2 linked regions of the Oryctolagus cuniculus genome follow. The protein of the gene in region 2 interacts with the protein of the main gene of each other region in a biochemical or structural test. Links are inferred from orthologs where the notes say so. Each region holds a gene or a part of one and is shown on either strand. Other genes may lie near its edges.

What was found.
Region 1: the proteins of RBX1 (region 2) and CUL4A form a complex in vitro, tested with the Homo sapiens proteins (6 studies listed by BioGRID, with this or other methods). The link is inferred for Oryctolagus cuniculus from reciprocal best matches to the Homo sapiens genes RBX1 and CUL4A.

What each region holds. Positions count from the first base shown.
Region 1 is NC_091440.1:733,547-740,457, forward strand, and holds the start of CUL4A (cullin-4A), read right to left. Parts: upstream 4,357-6,911; 5' UTR 4,237-4,356; coding exon 4,089-4,236; intron 4,003-4,088; coding exon 3,887-4,002; intron 1-3,886. Other genes in the region: PCID2 (PCI domain-containing protein 2), read left to right, coding at 4,999-5,034. UniProt on the Homo sapiens protein: Core component of multiple cullin-RING-based E3 ubiquitin-protein ligase complexes which mediate the ubiquitination of target proteins. As a scaffold protein may contribute to catalysis through positioning of the substrate and the ubiquitin-conjugating enzyme.
Region 2 is NC_091442.1:117,031,535-117,038,304, reverse strand, and holds the start of RBX1 (E3 ubiquitin-protein ligase RBX1), read right to left. Parts: upstream 3,968-6,770; 5' UTR 3,729-3,967; coding exon 3,651-3,728; intron 1,849-3,650; coding exon 1,770-1,848; intron 1-1,769. UniProt on the Homo sapiens protein: E3 ubiquitin ligase component of multiple cullin-RING-based E3 ubiquitin-protein ligase (CRLs) complexes which mediate the ubiquitination and subsequent proteasomal degradation of target proteins, including proteins involved in cell cycle progression, signal transduction, transcription and transcription-coupled nucleotide excision repair.

The sequences.
Region 1 (6,911 bases), on a different chromosome or scaffold from region 2:
ATAATGTACAAAACACCATCAAAAGTATGAGCTGCCAAGGGATAAATCTCACAAAAGATCTGTAAGACCTGTAACTGAAACTAGAGAATGCTGCCGAGAGAAATGAAAAAATACCAGAGCTGCTTTCTGTGACAGTCAGTGGACCCCGCAGTGTCAGGACACCGATTCCCCCAACGCTGAACCAGGGTCCCCAAACACATGACAAAAGTCCCAGGAGGCTTACTTGCAGAACTTAGCCAACAGATTCCAAAATCATACAGAGATTTAAAGGACCAAGAACAGGACCAAAACAGATGTGAAAAGGGACCCAGCTGGAGGGATAACACCTTCCGACCCCACGACTTAGTGAAGCACTCCTCGCCGGACAACGATCCTCGCTGAGAAAGAAGCGACTCAGAAGAAAGAAGTCTTTCAATCAAGACGCTGCAGAACACGGAACGTGAATTCACACTTCATAACATACAAAAACGCACTCTAAGTGTAAAACCTAAACTCAGAAGTGTCCAGAAGGAAACAGGAGAAAATCTTCGTGACATAGGCTGGGACACAAAGCACAACTCAGAAAGGAACAGACTGACTCTCTTGCGTTCAAAATTTAAAACTGCTCTCCTCTGACCTCAGAATCAGCCCTTAGGCACTCTGGTCTGGCTGAAAAGCCCACGAGAGCATTTCAGGCATGGAAATTCCAGACGCTGGAGCAAAGAATGTCTTACGTGAAGGATCTCGGTGGGTGAACTCCAGCGGACAGAAGTGCTCATCAAAGGAGGCACTTTAACTCTGAAGGGAGGAGAGAACTTCCACTTTGCTTATGGCTTGTCTAAACGCTGATGGAGTTTGTGGATTCAAGGCTTCCACAGCCGAGGCAGCTCATGTCAAGAGCCCCGGGTGATCACTGACATCATACAGAGCGTTAATTGTTAATTAAATCACTGTGTACCAACTTCCCATGCAGGACCTCTGTCCTCAGTGAGTTGTATTATAACTACGTCTAAGTGCTCCTAAAAGATGTATCATTCTTGGATGCTTCCTTAAAGTTAATTAAACTTCTAAAAAAATGAAATTAACTTCAAGATGCCATGGCTCTGAACAACCTTGTCTCGACAGCTGAGGACAAATTATTGAACTCTTTACTTAGAACAGAGCTGGTCTTCTGTGTATAAAGTTGATTGAAAAATGGATCTTAGTGGAGAATGAGACTGGGGATGGGAGAGGGAGGAGGAGGAATGGGAGGGTGGGTATGGTGGGAAGAATCACTGTATTCCTGAAGTTGTGCTTATGAAATGCATGAAGTCTGTATTCCTTAAATATAAGGTTTCCTTGGGGGGAAAATAAAAACAAAAAAAAAAATCTACTGCTCTTCAAAGGACATACTTAAGAGAATCAAGACAAGCCACAGACTGGGAGAATATTATTGCAAAGCCAATATCTGATATAACATTTGTCCAAAATATGTAATAAGCTTACCCACTCAATAACAGAAAAGAAACTCAATGAGAATGAGAAAATCTGAAGACAGTTCATCAAAAACACTCACAGAATAGCAAATGAGCACACAGGGACTTAGTAAATGGTGCCACCGCTTTGAAAAGCAAGAAATTTATTTATTTATTTATTTATTTATTTATTTTTGACAGGCAGAGTGGACAGTGAGAGAGAGAGACAGAGAGAAAGGTCTTCCTTTGCCGTTGGTTCACCCTCCAATGGCCGCCGCACCGCGCTGATCCGATGGCAGGAGCCAGGTGCTTTTCCTGGTCTCCCATGGGGTGCAGGGCCCAAGCACCTGGGCCATCCTCCACTGCACTCCCTGGCCACAGCAGAGGGCTGGCCTGGAAGAGGGGCAACCGGGACAGAATCCGGCGCCCTGACCGGGACTAGAACCTGGTGTGCCGGCGCCGCTAGGCGGAGGATTAGCCTAGTGAGCTGCGGCGCCGGCCACAATTTCTTTATTTTTTTTAAGATTTATTTATTTATTTGAAAGAGTTACAGACTGGCAGAGGCAGAGGCAGAGAGAGCGGTCTTCCACCTGCTGGTTCACTCCCTAAATGCCACAACGGCCAGAGCTGGGCCAATCCAAAGCCAGGAGCCAGGAGCCAGGAGCTTCTTCCAGGTCTCCCACGTGGGTGCAGGAGTCCAAGGACTTGGGCCATCTTCTACTGCTTTCCCAGGCCATAGCAGAGAGCCGGATCGGAAGTGGAGCAGCTGGGACTCCCAGAATGTGAGCACTGAAGGCTGTGGCTTTACCAGCTACGCTACAGTGCCGCAGTGCCGGCCCCGGAAATTTCTTATACAGTTGAACAAGTATTTTTCCACGGGACCCTGGGGATCTACTTCCAGAGGAATGAGAATGTTTGTTACGTTATTTGTAACCCAAAACTTGATACCCAAGTGTCCATTAACTGGTGAAGAATAAGCCAAACACAGTACACCCAAGCAGGACAGGAATACAAAGAAACAAATTATGGGGACCCAGCTCCAGTTGGAGTCCCAGCTGCTCCACTCCTGACCAGCTCCCTGCCAATGCTCCTTGGAAAACAGTAGATAGCCCAAAGCCTCGGCCTGTGCCTCCCACATGGGAGACCCTGATGGATTTCTAGGGCCCTGGCTTTCGTCTGGCCCAGCCATCTGGGGACTGAACCAGCAGACAGAAGATCTCCGTATTTGTCTCTTTCCCTCTCTCTCTGGCTCTATCTTTCAAATAAATAAATAGTAAACAAGCTAATTACTATCACATAGTGTGCATGGATTTCAGAAGTATCGTGGGTATGTGTGTGGTGCTGTGGGCGAGAAGCCACCTGTGGCACCTGAATCGCCCATCAGAATGGCTGGGTCTGAGTTGTGACTCCACTTACAATTAATTCTAGCTTCCGCTAACGCGCAGTCCGGGAGGCAGCAGATGATGGCTGGAGTTCTTGGGCTCTGCTACCTGTGTGGGTGACCCAGATGATTTCCTGGCTTCAGCCTGGCCCAGCCCCTGCTGTTGTGGACAGCTGGGGGAATGACCCAGCACGTGGAAGAACTCTGCCTCCGTCCCTCCTCTCCCTTTCAAATACAATGAGAGTAAACAATTTTTTTAAAAGTTCCACCCTAAGCAAAAAAAAAAAAAAAAAAAAGTCAGACATGCAAAACGCATGATTCTATTTGGATGAGATTCCAGAAACAGCAAGCTATGGGGACAGAAAACAAGTAAGTAAAGACGATGGAGCTGGTTGGGAGGGGAGACACGTCCACATCCGTAACAACTTAGTAAGACCCAAGTTACACATCCTATGTAAACGATGAGAGAACGGCTTAGAGAGACGCAGAGGCCGGCCAGTTCACACGCGCCCTGTCACGCACACACGCACACAGGCGCGGGGGGGGGGCTCCAGCTCCAAGCACAGGTATCCCTCTCACGCCCAGTGCTCCGTATTCGCGCTGGGATCCATTACGTGCGACGAGGTGTGGAATTTTCCACTTGTGTCACCACGTCGGTGCTCAGTGTCAGGTTCTGGAGCATTCCGGGAGTTTGGATAAGGGAGGCCCCGGCAGGGTGGGTGGCGGGACACGCAGGGGGCCTACAGGCCCTCCGTGGCACTGCGCAGCGCCGCTAACGTCACGCAAATACACCCACAGCCCAAGGCTTTGCAGGGAAAACTCGCACAGCTCCCCGCACATCGGGGGGAAGCGCGCTCCCGAGGGGCCGCCAAGTGGCTTCCAAGTTCCCCACGCGGCGCGCCCCCGGCCGCTCCTCCCGACCCCGGACACGCAACGGCGAACCGCATCCAGACGCGCGCGGGCCGTCCCCGCAGCGGGCACTTTACATAAGCGCGGCCCGCGCGAAGGCCGCGCGGTCACGTGCCGCCCGCGCCCGCGCCCGCCGCGGCCCCGGGCCACTCGGGCCGCTCACCTGGTACAGCTCCTCCAGGTTGTAGCGGATGGAGGTGCTGCCCTGGATGGCCCGCACGGCCTCGTGCAGCTGGCGCCACGTGTCCTGCGTGTAGTTGTCGGGCAGCTGCGGCCTGTCTGTGGAGAGCGCAGGGTCAGGCGCGGCCGGCCGCCCCGCGTCCGCGCCGCCCCGCGCCCCGCGCCCCGCGCCCGCCAGGCCGCACCTCGGAAATTCTTGATGACCAGCTTCCTGGAGCCGCCCGCGCCGCCCGGCTTGTTGGGGCCGCCGGCCAGGCCCGCGGGCTTGGTGAGGCCGTTGGTGCGGCCCACGAGGGCCGAGACGCCGGCCTTGCGCGGGGCCTCGTCCGCCATGGCCGCGGCCGGACGCCGCCCGACCCGCCCGGGCACGCCGCCCCGCGCCCCGCGCCCCGTGCGCCCGGCTCCGGCCCTGTCCGCCCGCGTCCGGCGCCGGCTCCGGCTCCCGAGCCTCCGTCCGGGCCTGCGCCGAGGCCGCCCCGCCCCGCCCCGCCCGCGCCCCGGAGCCCAACCGCCGCCGCCGCCGTCGGCCCGGCCCGCCCCTCCCGCCGCCGGGCGCGGGACGCCGCGCTCAGACTCCGGGGCGCGCGCGCCGGGCCGCGCGCCGGGCCGCCCCTCCCCTCGGGGGCGCGGGGCTGCGCGGGAAGCCGGCGCCGCGGAGCCCGCCGCACCCCGCGGCCGCCGGCGCGGCGGCGCGCGCCCGGACCCCCGCCGCCCCACCGAGGGCGGGCTGAGGAGGGGGCGCGAGGCCGCCCTCCATCTTAGTCTGCGGGCGCGCGCGCCGGCACCCTGTGTGTGGACTCGGGGGCGCGCCCGGGCCGGCTGCGGCCGCGAGCCGAACGTCGCTGCGGGGAGTGCTTTTCACGAGAGGGGTCGCGGGCCCCAGCGCGCGAGGCGAGCGGCGCCAGACCCCGGCCGCCCTCCACCGGGCTCGGCGCCGAGCTGCCGGGGCGGCGCTTGCGGCGCACGTTGTGGCCGGAACCAATGTGCGAGCGACGCTGGCGTCGGGGGGCGCCTGGCGGTGGACGGACCGCCGGCCGGAAGTGACGCGCGGCCTGACGCGGGCGGACCGGGCGCAGGCTGCGCGGCGGCCGCGCCATGGCGCACATCACCATCAACCAGTACCTGCAGCAGGTGGGTGCTGGCGGGCGCTGCGTGGCTGCTGGCGCAGGGCCGCCGCACCGAAGCGTGTCCGTGTGCGGGGTGCGGGGAGCCCCGGGCGGCCCGCCTCTGCCGGAGGCCACTTCCCTCGGGTTTTCCCAGGGGGCGGCGCCGGTACGGTCGCTCAGCCGCGGGTGTCCGGGGTTCTGGAACGCTTTAGAAGTGGCGGGTTGTCGACGCGGGATGGCGGCCGGATGTAACATGCGGGGGAGAACGCGGGTCGGCGGGACTTGGGCTCCTACCGCGGCCTGCGCGCTGGCTCTGCGGCCAGGGCGCGCGACCCCGCGGCCGCGATCTCCTGGGAACGGGACCCGTGGGAGCTGGGGGAGTTAGAGCCCCACGGCATCTGCCCCTGGTGAACCTCGCCCCGCCTTGCGTGTCTGACGCTGCAGCTGCAGGGCACAGAAGCGGCCACACCGAGGCTCTGGGCTCAGACGGCGCCGCCGGGACGCGCGGGCCCGGGCTCTGGTCGCAAGGCCGTGTTTTCAGCATTGAGTTTTCCAAAGGATGATGTTTCTTGGCGCGTCGGACTGCGAGCGTAGGGACCTTGTCCACCTGCACCCGCCTCCATTCCTGATTTCAGCACCCTGTGATGGGTTCCTAGTAGCTCTGGGGAGGAAGTGGGTCTGACTTTCCCTAGGGCGGGAGAGATTGCCTACTGCTGTGTCTTGGGTTCTCGGGACAGAGCCCAAGGACCTAGGTATTACTCCGCACAGCAGACCCCGTGGTGTCAGCATATTGGCATCGTTCTGGGGTGTGCGTTTTTTTTTTTTTTTAATCTCAAATCCCACAGGGGTCAAGTGATGACCCAGGTGGGTACAGGCACTTGGAACCAGGAGGGGAACTCTGATCTTGATTACCAAGCGGCTTTATTTTATTTTTTGGGGAAAATCAGTTTATTTAACTCAAACAGTAGCATTGCAACAGCTCATTTCAGGAGATCAAACATCTGCCAGACCCGAATTGAACTTCGTGTCAGTGGTGTGCACACAGCTAGGACACCCTGTTCCGACAGCGCCGGCGCAGGGGAGCTCTTCCCAGCACAGGACTGCTGATCGCCTCTTGAGATTCCAGGCCACGCCTTCACTTTGACCTCTGACTCAGAGGAATCCGTGGGCTGCCCTGGCTGGGCTCCCCCAGGCTCCTGGTGAGGGAGGTGGGCTCAGCCGTCCTTCCCACGCAGCAGCCCCCGGTGACGGCATGACGCAGCGCGTGCCCACACCTGGCCAGCGGCAGTGGTTGCCATCTGGGCCATTGGCCTGGCTGTCCAGGTGCAGCAGCAGGGGAGCCAGCTGCAGACGGTGGGGCTGCCACGGTGGCCGTGCTGCTGGTGCCAGCCTCAGTGCACGCCTCCGCCGAGCGCCAGGCGTCTGGAAGTGGGAGCTCTCCTATCAGTTTGCCAGCGAGTCTGCCGCTGTCCAGGGCCAGGCCTGGAGGGAGGCACTGCTGTGTCTCCAGGCATCCTGCTGCCTAAGCAACCCTAGTCACAGCCCGAGTCAGGAGGGACGCGGGGCCCTGCAGCGCCTGTACTGCCAGCAACTGTCAGAACCCAGGAGGCCCCAGGAGGGGGAGGGGTGTCGTCCCCCCCCAGCTCATGGCTACAACGTCTCCTCTTCTTGAGGCTCCAGGTGTCAGCACCCAGCTCAGTTTCTGTCTGAGGCCGGAGAAGCTACAGTAACTCATCTTAGTGTTTCCTTGCCTGTACTTATTCTCATTCATTCTCTCTCTCTCTCTCTTTACTTTGAAAGAGTTACAGAGAGGAGGAGAGACAGAAGGAGAGAGAGAGAGATCTCATCCACTAGTTCACTACCCAAATGGCCTCAATGGCTGGGGCTGGGCCAGGCCAGAGC
Region 2 (6,770 bases):
ACACAAAGTCAGTCCACCACCAGCTATAATCATATCTATTATGTGTAAAGAAATTTCTTTTAGGCAATTAATTACCTATTTAGATACTGGCGATGTCCTTTCTACTGTGTTTGGGACTAACATCAAAAATTCTTGGCTGGCACTGTAGTGTAGCAGGTAAAGCTGTTGCCTGCAGTGCCGGCATCCCATATGGGCACTGATTTGAGTGCCGGCTGCTCCACTTCTGATCCAGCTCTCTGCTATGACCTGGGAAAGCAGAAGATGGCCCAAATCTTTGGACCCCTGCATCCATGTGGGAGACCGAGAGCTCCTGGCTCTGGATCGGCGGAGGTCTGGCCGCTGCGGCCAACTGGGGAGTGAATCAGCGGATGGAAGACCTCTCTCTCTCTCTCTGCCTCTCTGTAGTTCTGACTTTCAAATAAAATCTTAAAAAAAAAATTTTTTTTTAAGATTTATTTATGGCCGGCGCCGCGGCTCACTAGGCTAATCCTCCACCTTGCAGCGCTGGCACACCGGGTTCTAGTCCTGGTCAGGGCACCGGATTCTGTCCCGGTTGCCCTTCTTCCAGGCCAGCTCTCTGCTGTGGCCCGGGAAGGCAGTGGAGGATGGCCCAAGTGCTTGGGCCCTACACCCCATGGGAGACCAGGATAAGTACCTGGCTCCTGGCTTCGGGTCAGCGCAGTGCGCCGGCCGTGGTGGCCATTGGAGGGTGAACCAATGGCAAAGGAAGACCCTTCTCTCTGTCTCTCTCTCTCACTATCCACTCTGCCTGTCAAAAAAAAATTTTTTTTATTTATTTGAAAGTCAGAGTCACACAGAAAGAGGAGAGGCAGAGAAAGAGAGATAGAGAGAGGTCTCCCATCTGATGGTTCACTCCCCAATTGGCCCTAATGGCCACAGCTCTGCTGATCCAAAGCCAGGAGCCAGGAGCTTCTTCCAGGCCTCCCACGTGGGTGCAGGGGCCCAAGGATTTGGGCCATCTTCTACTGCTTTCCCAGGCCATAGCAGAGAGCTGGATTGGAAGTAGAGCAGCCAGGTCTTGAATCGGTACCCATATGGGATGCTGGTGCTTCAGGCCAGGGCATTAATCCACTGCGCCACAGCACCGGCCACCCAAAAAAATTCTCAATCCAGGGCACCAGCATCCCTTATGGACACTGGTTCATGACTTGGCTGCTCCACACAACCTTCCATTTATTTTAGTTCATCTCCAGGTAACTTACAATGCCTAATACAATGTAAATGCTATGTAAACAATTGCGAAGCTGTATGGGTTAGTGAATAATGACAAGGAAAAAAAGGATATATTTGTCCAGTACAGACATTAAAAAACGCATATGTATTTCTGATCCGCAGTTGTCTGACCCCACAGATAGGGCGGAGTGTAAATCTCGCCCAGCAAAAATTAGCTCATGTAGGATATTTTAGGTCAGAGTTTACTTTCTTCCATTCACTATGTCTGCCTTGGAGTTCTGAGTATGAGACGGGAGATACAGAAGAGTACACAGCATCTCTGTGTCCAAAATTCACTCTAAAAGCGTCCTTGCCATCCTTAAGATTGTGTGGAGTGGACTTATTCCAAGAGCTGGGTATGCATGTAGGACTTCAGAAAAAACTACTTTCCTTCCAACACCCCAGTGGACTAAACACAAAAGGCCTCACACATGCTGTGCTTTGTGTCTCCTGGTGAGGAAGGAAACTGGCCACTTCAGGATGGCCACAATCCCTGTAGCCTCTCAACCTCCTCCCACCCTCCTCCAGTTACTTACAGAGATCCATAATGTGGTTCCTGCAGATGGCACAGTTATCAACCACAATATCCCAGGCCCAGAGGGCTACTGCATTCCACTGCAAAGAGAAAAAGGGGGAACAATGCGCTCTCCTTGTAATGTCACGCACACACGCGCTTCCTGCTGCAGCTGCAGTTACCCACCTGGGCCACAGGGACCACCAGACAAAAGAGTTTTTGGATGTTACATTATTCTCATTTATTATATTAGGGGACAACTGGAAGCTATATGTAGGCTGGCCCATTCTCCAAAGGTTTGGTATAGGAATACAGAAATGAATGAGTCACCTTTTTTATTTCTTTTCCCTACAGTTTAAAATAATTTAGTCAGTCATATCAATGTAGGCCAAGTTAGGAATAGTTTTTCAGTGCCTGCTTTAGGATTAATAAGCACAAACTTGAATTCCTGTGAAGGTTTTTCTGGCAGCTGCAGGGCTCAAAATCTGCATAAACATCAGGAGCGGGAGGTGAACGCTAGGGACAGGATGAACTAAGACGATGACTGGATAATAACGTGGGTAATCGTGGGATAAGCTGGATAACTGGTGACCCAGGGTGGGTACCCAGAACAAGGTCATCGCTTGAACCTCACGCCGTCACTTCCAAACGGCAGAATTTACTAGAATCTTTCGTTCTTATCAAATAAGCTGATGTTCTCAACTTTCGTATGTTGCAACTCTAACATGTAGTAAATTCCAGTAAGGATTTATCTTAAAAAAATTATGAGAAACAACTTCCAAACTCCCCTTTCACCCACTGTCTGGCGCCGCCACCCAAGCCTTCATCTCCTTCCAGGCCAGCTCTCAGGTCTAGGAACTTCGCCAGCACTCTCCACACCTCAGCTCCAACTTGGAGAAGCCCCGAGTCCGCAACATGGCTGCTGGCAGCAGGCGGGCAGCGGCGGCCACAATGAGACGCCGAAACGCACTCGGAGGGCCCGGCGTCCGCGCCTGGACGATGGTCCAGGAAGCGCAGCTCCCCTAGGTCGGAACCTTCATTGTCCAGATTTATTTCACCTTAGGTGGGAATCGACACTTTTCTCCAGAGCTGCCGGCTCGGGGAAAGCAGTGAGGGGGCAGACCTCACGCCAAAAAGAAAAAGAAAAAGCCGCGTCTACATGTGTTCCTGCCCCCGTCTCCGCCAGGCCGCTCGGAGCCAGCACGCGATCCTCCGCGAACGGCACGAGACTGGGACATTTTCTTTTCAACAAATTCCACCATGATTTTTTTTTTAAAAATGTCTTTTGGAGGGAGATTCTGGACGTGACACCACAAGGCTGGGGCGGCTGTGTGACAAGCCGACACACGACCCCCCAAGAGCCAAGCTGCACACTCCGGGCGGGGGCCGGGCCCGAGAGGGGCTAACGGAGGGACGAGTCGGGGACCCTCCACGCTTCAGACAGGGGCGGGGCGGGGAGGTCACCAGCCGGGCTCCTCAGAGGCCTCCAGTGCGGTAAGAGCTCAGGTTCTCGGCTTTCGCCACACCACCCCATCCTCCACCCGCCGCAGCGCTCCGACTCCCCTTCCACCCACCCCGCCCGGTCCTTCCCCCCACCCCTCAGCCGCTTCAGTGACAGCTCCGGCGCTTGGCTCCCGCAGCCCAGTCGCAACCCCGCGCATCTCAATAAGCACCTCCGTGATTGGCCCCTCAGCCTCAAAGCGAACTCAACATTGCGCTCGACAGTGGGCCGCCGTCACGCCGATCAACGCTAAGGCCCGCCCCCCGGCTTCCTTTCGTGGTACCCGGTCCTAGGAACGCCCTGAATTGAAGCCCTTTCCTCCGCGCCTCGGTCATCCAAGGGCCTGCCAGCCAGATCCGCGCCTCTCTAGCTTCCCCGAGGAAGGCGCTGGCGAGACCCAACCTTTTTCACTTCAAAGCGCTTCTTGCCCGCGCCGCTGTTGGTGCCGCTCGGGGTATCCACATCCATCGCTGCCGCCATTTTGGAAACACACGATCTGTAGTCCGGCCAATGCGCCTGCGCAGTAGCGCGCGCCTCGCTTCCCACCCACCCCCTGACGCCCGGGCGCCTCCTCCCGCACCCCTCCCCCGACTGGCGCGCGAGGGGCAGATGGAGGCGGAGCCCATGGCCACGCCTCTTAAAGGCGCTGGCGCAGGCCTCCCCCCTCACGTCGGCCGGGGAGGAGGCGGCGGCCGGAGGGGCCGGGGCGGGGCCGGGCGGGGCCGAGGCGCCTGCAGCGAGCCGAGTGGAAACGTTCGACAGGGCTCGCTCTCGTCGCCCTTCCCCGGGAAGCCCCCGGGCCGCACTGCCTTCGGCCGGGGCGGCGGCGGCTGCTTCCTCCGCCTCGGCCGCCAACCTGGCCGAGGCCGCGGCACCGTTGCTGGTCCGGGCGCGGGGAAGAGGCGGGGGTGGCGCCCCGCGGTGCGGGACTCCACACTGACCTTCTGCGGACCGGCCTGGTCCCGCTGCGGAGCCCAGGCCCCAGCGCCAGTCACCCTGCGAGGCCTGCGGCCGGGGTCTGTCGGGCCCACCAGGCACCGGCTGGCTTCCCCGATGCCCGTTCGGGGAATGCCCAGGGCTTCGACGGGCAAGAGGAGGAGACCCCCGAACGTCCTCCCCAGTGGCGAGTCCGGTCGGCCTGGAGGGCCCGCGTCTTTGTGAGGCAGGCGGCTGCCACCGCTGGCCTCGCCCCGTCTTCTGGTCTACCTCCCTCCAAGCCTGCACCAGGCCTCGCTTCCACGGCTGTAACCGCCCGGGGTGGGGGTCTCACTCCCGCCTCCCGTCTATTTGAAATCTCCCCTCTCGCCTCTCGATCTGGCGCCGTGGCCTCCAACGCGAAGCCGGAGGGACTTGGAATGTTTTCCTTCTTAATCCCAAACAGGAACGACAGACCCCCCGTGAGACTGTGGGAGACCCGAGGGGGTCGCAGGAACCCCACGAAGTTCCTTAGCCCAAGCTTTAAGGAGTCTGGGGTAAAGCTGCCGTTAATTAATGTGTGCCTACGGACCCTTCCTGGAGTTCCTGAAGCCCATGGCAGAGCTTCCGAGGCCCTGGTTATCCATCACCCAACAAATTAACTGGGGGGCATTGTGGCCGCGCGCTTAGCACCCCCCCCCACCTGTGACGCCGCATGCCACGTGGGTGCTGGGTTGAGTCCCGCCTGCTCCACTTCCCATCCAGCTCCCTGCTAGTGCGCCTTGGAAAGCAGCAGAAGGTGGCCCGAGTGTTTGGGTTCCTGGAATTCCTGGCTCCTCAGGCGTTGCAGCCGTCGGAGGAGTGAACCAGCCCATGGAAGAGTTGACTCCGACCTTCCAATAAGTAAAAATCGTAACAACAATAAACTGTATTGCGCCACCCTTGTGGCACAGCAGGTTAAGCCGCCACCTGCCACGCGAGGATCCCACGTGGGTGCAGGTTGGAGTCCCGGCTGCTCCACTTCCGATCCAGCTCTGGGCTAGTGGCCCTGCCACCCACATGGGTGACCCAGATGCAGTTCCAGGCTCCTAGCTTGGACTGCCCCAGCCCTGGGTGTTGTGGCCATCTGGGGAGTGAACCAGGAGATGGAATATCTCTCCCTGTCTCTGTAACACTACCTTTAAAATCAATCGATCGAGCCGGCGCCGTGGCTCAATAGGCTAATCCTCCACCTTGCGGCGCCGGCACACCGGGTTCTAGTCCCGGTTGGGGCACCGGATTCTGTCCCGGTTGCCCCTCTTCCAGGCCAGCTCTCTGCTATGGCCAGGGAGTGCAGTGGAGGATGGCCCAGGTGCTTGGGCCCTGCACCCCATGGGAGACCAGGAAAAGCACCTGGCTCCTGGCTCCTGCCATCGGATCAGCACGGTGCGCCGGCTGCAGCGGCGGCCATTGGAGGGTGAACCAGCGGCAAAAGGAAGACCTTTCTCTCTCTGTCTCTCTCTCTCACTGTCCACTCTGCCTGTCAAAAAAAACAAAACAAAAAAAAATCAATCGATCGATCGAGCAGTCTTTTAAAAAACAAAAACAAAGGTCTTGAGAATGTACTGGGTCCCGTTTTTAAAACAGGAGAGACACAGTGATGAAGGAATCAAATTTCTTGTAGGGAAATAATACATGTCAATAAATAATTACAAAAGGAAATCTTAGGTACCAGTAAGTGCACTGAGGAAAACAAAACAAGGCCATGAGATTGAGGAGAGGGGGAGGCACCATTAACTGGAGTGGTTAGGTAAGGCCTCTAAGAAGAGTGGCATCTAAGCTGGGGTCCTTACAGGGGCCTCAATGGCCCTGGCGATCTGCTTCCCTGTTCAGTTTACATACGCAGGCACACCCTGAGGAACACTGGGATACATTCTGAAATGAGCATTGTGTTAGGTACTTTTGTTGTGTGAACAGTGCAGGTAGACAAAACTAGGTGGTATAAATATATATAGCCTACTACCAGGCCAAATAGTATGGCCTTTTGTGCACAGGTCATGACTACCTCGTGTTACTGTTCCAAACATGTGGAAAATTGTAACACAATGGAAAATGTTTGTGTATAGGCCGGCGCCGTGGCTCACTAGGCTAATCCTGTGCCTTGCGGCGTCGGCACACTGGGTTCTAGTCCCAGTCGGGGCGCCGGATTCTGTCCCGGTTGCCCCTCTTCCAGGCCAGCTCTCTGCTGTGGCCAGGGAAGGCAGTGGAGGATGGCCCAAGTGCTTGGGCCCTGCACCCCATGGGAGACCAGGAGAAGCACCTGGCTCCTGCTTTCAGATCAGCGCGGTGCGCCGGCCGCAGGGTGCCGGCCGCGGCGGCCATTGGAGGGTGAACCAACGGCAAAGGAAGACTTTCTCTCTGTCTCTCTCTCTCACTATCCACTCTGCCTGTCAAAAAAAAAAAAAAATGTTTGTGTATCTAAAATAGAAAAACTACGGTAAGGGGTCAACCTTGTGGCACAGTGGATCAGGCTGGCACATGTGACACCAGCATCCCCTATGGCCATGACTCTTTGGTCATAACATTTAGCTTAAAACACAACCACATGGTACAGCTATACAAAATATT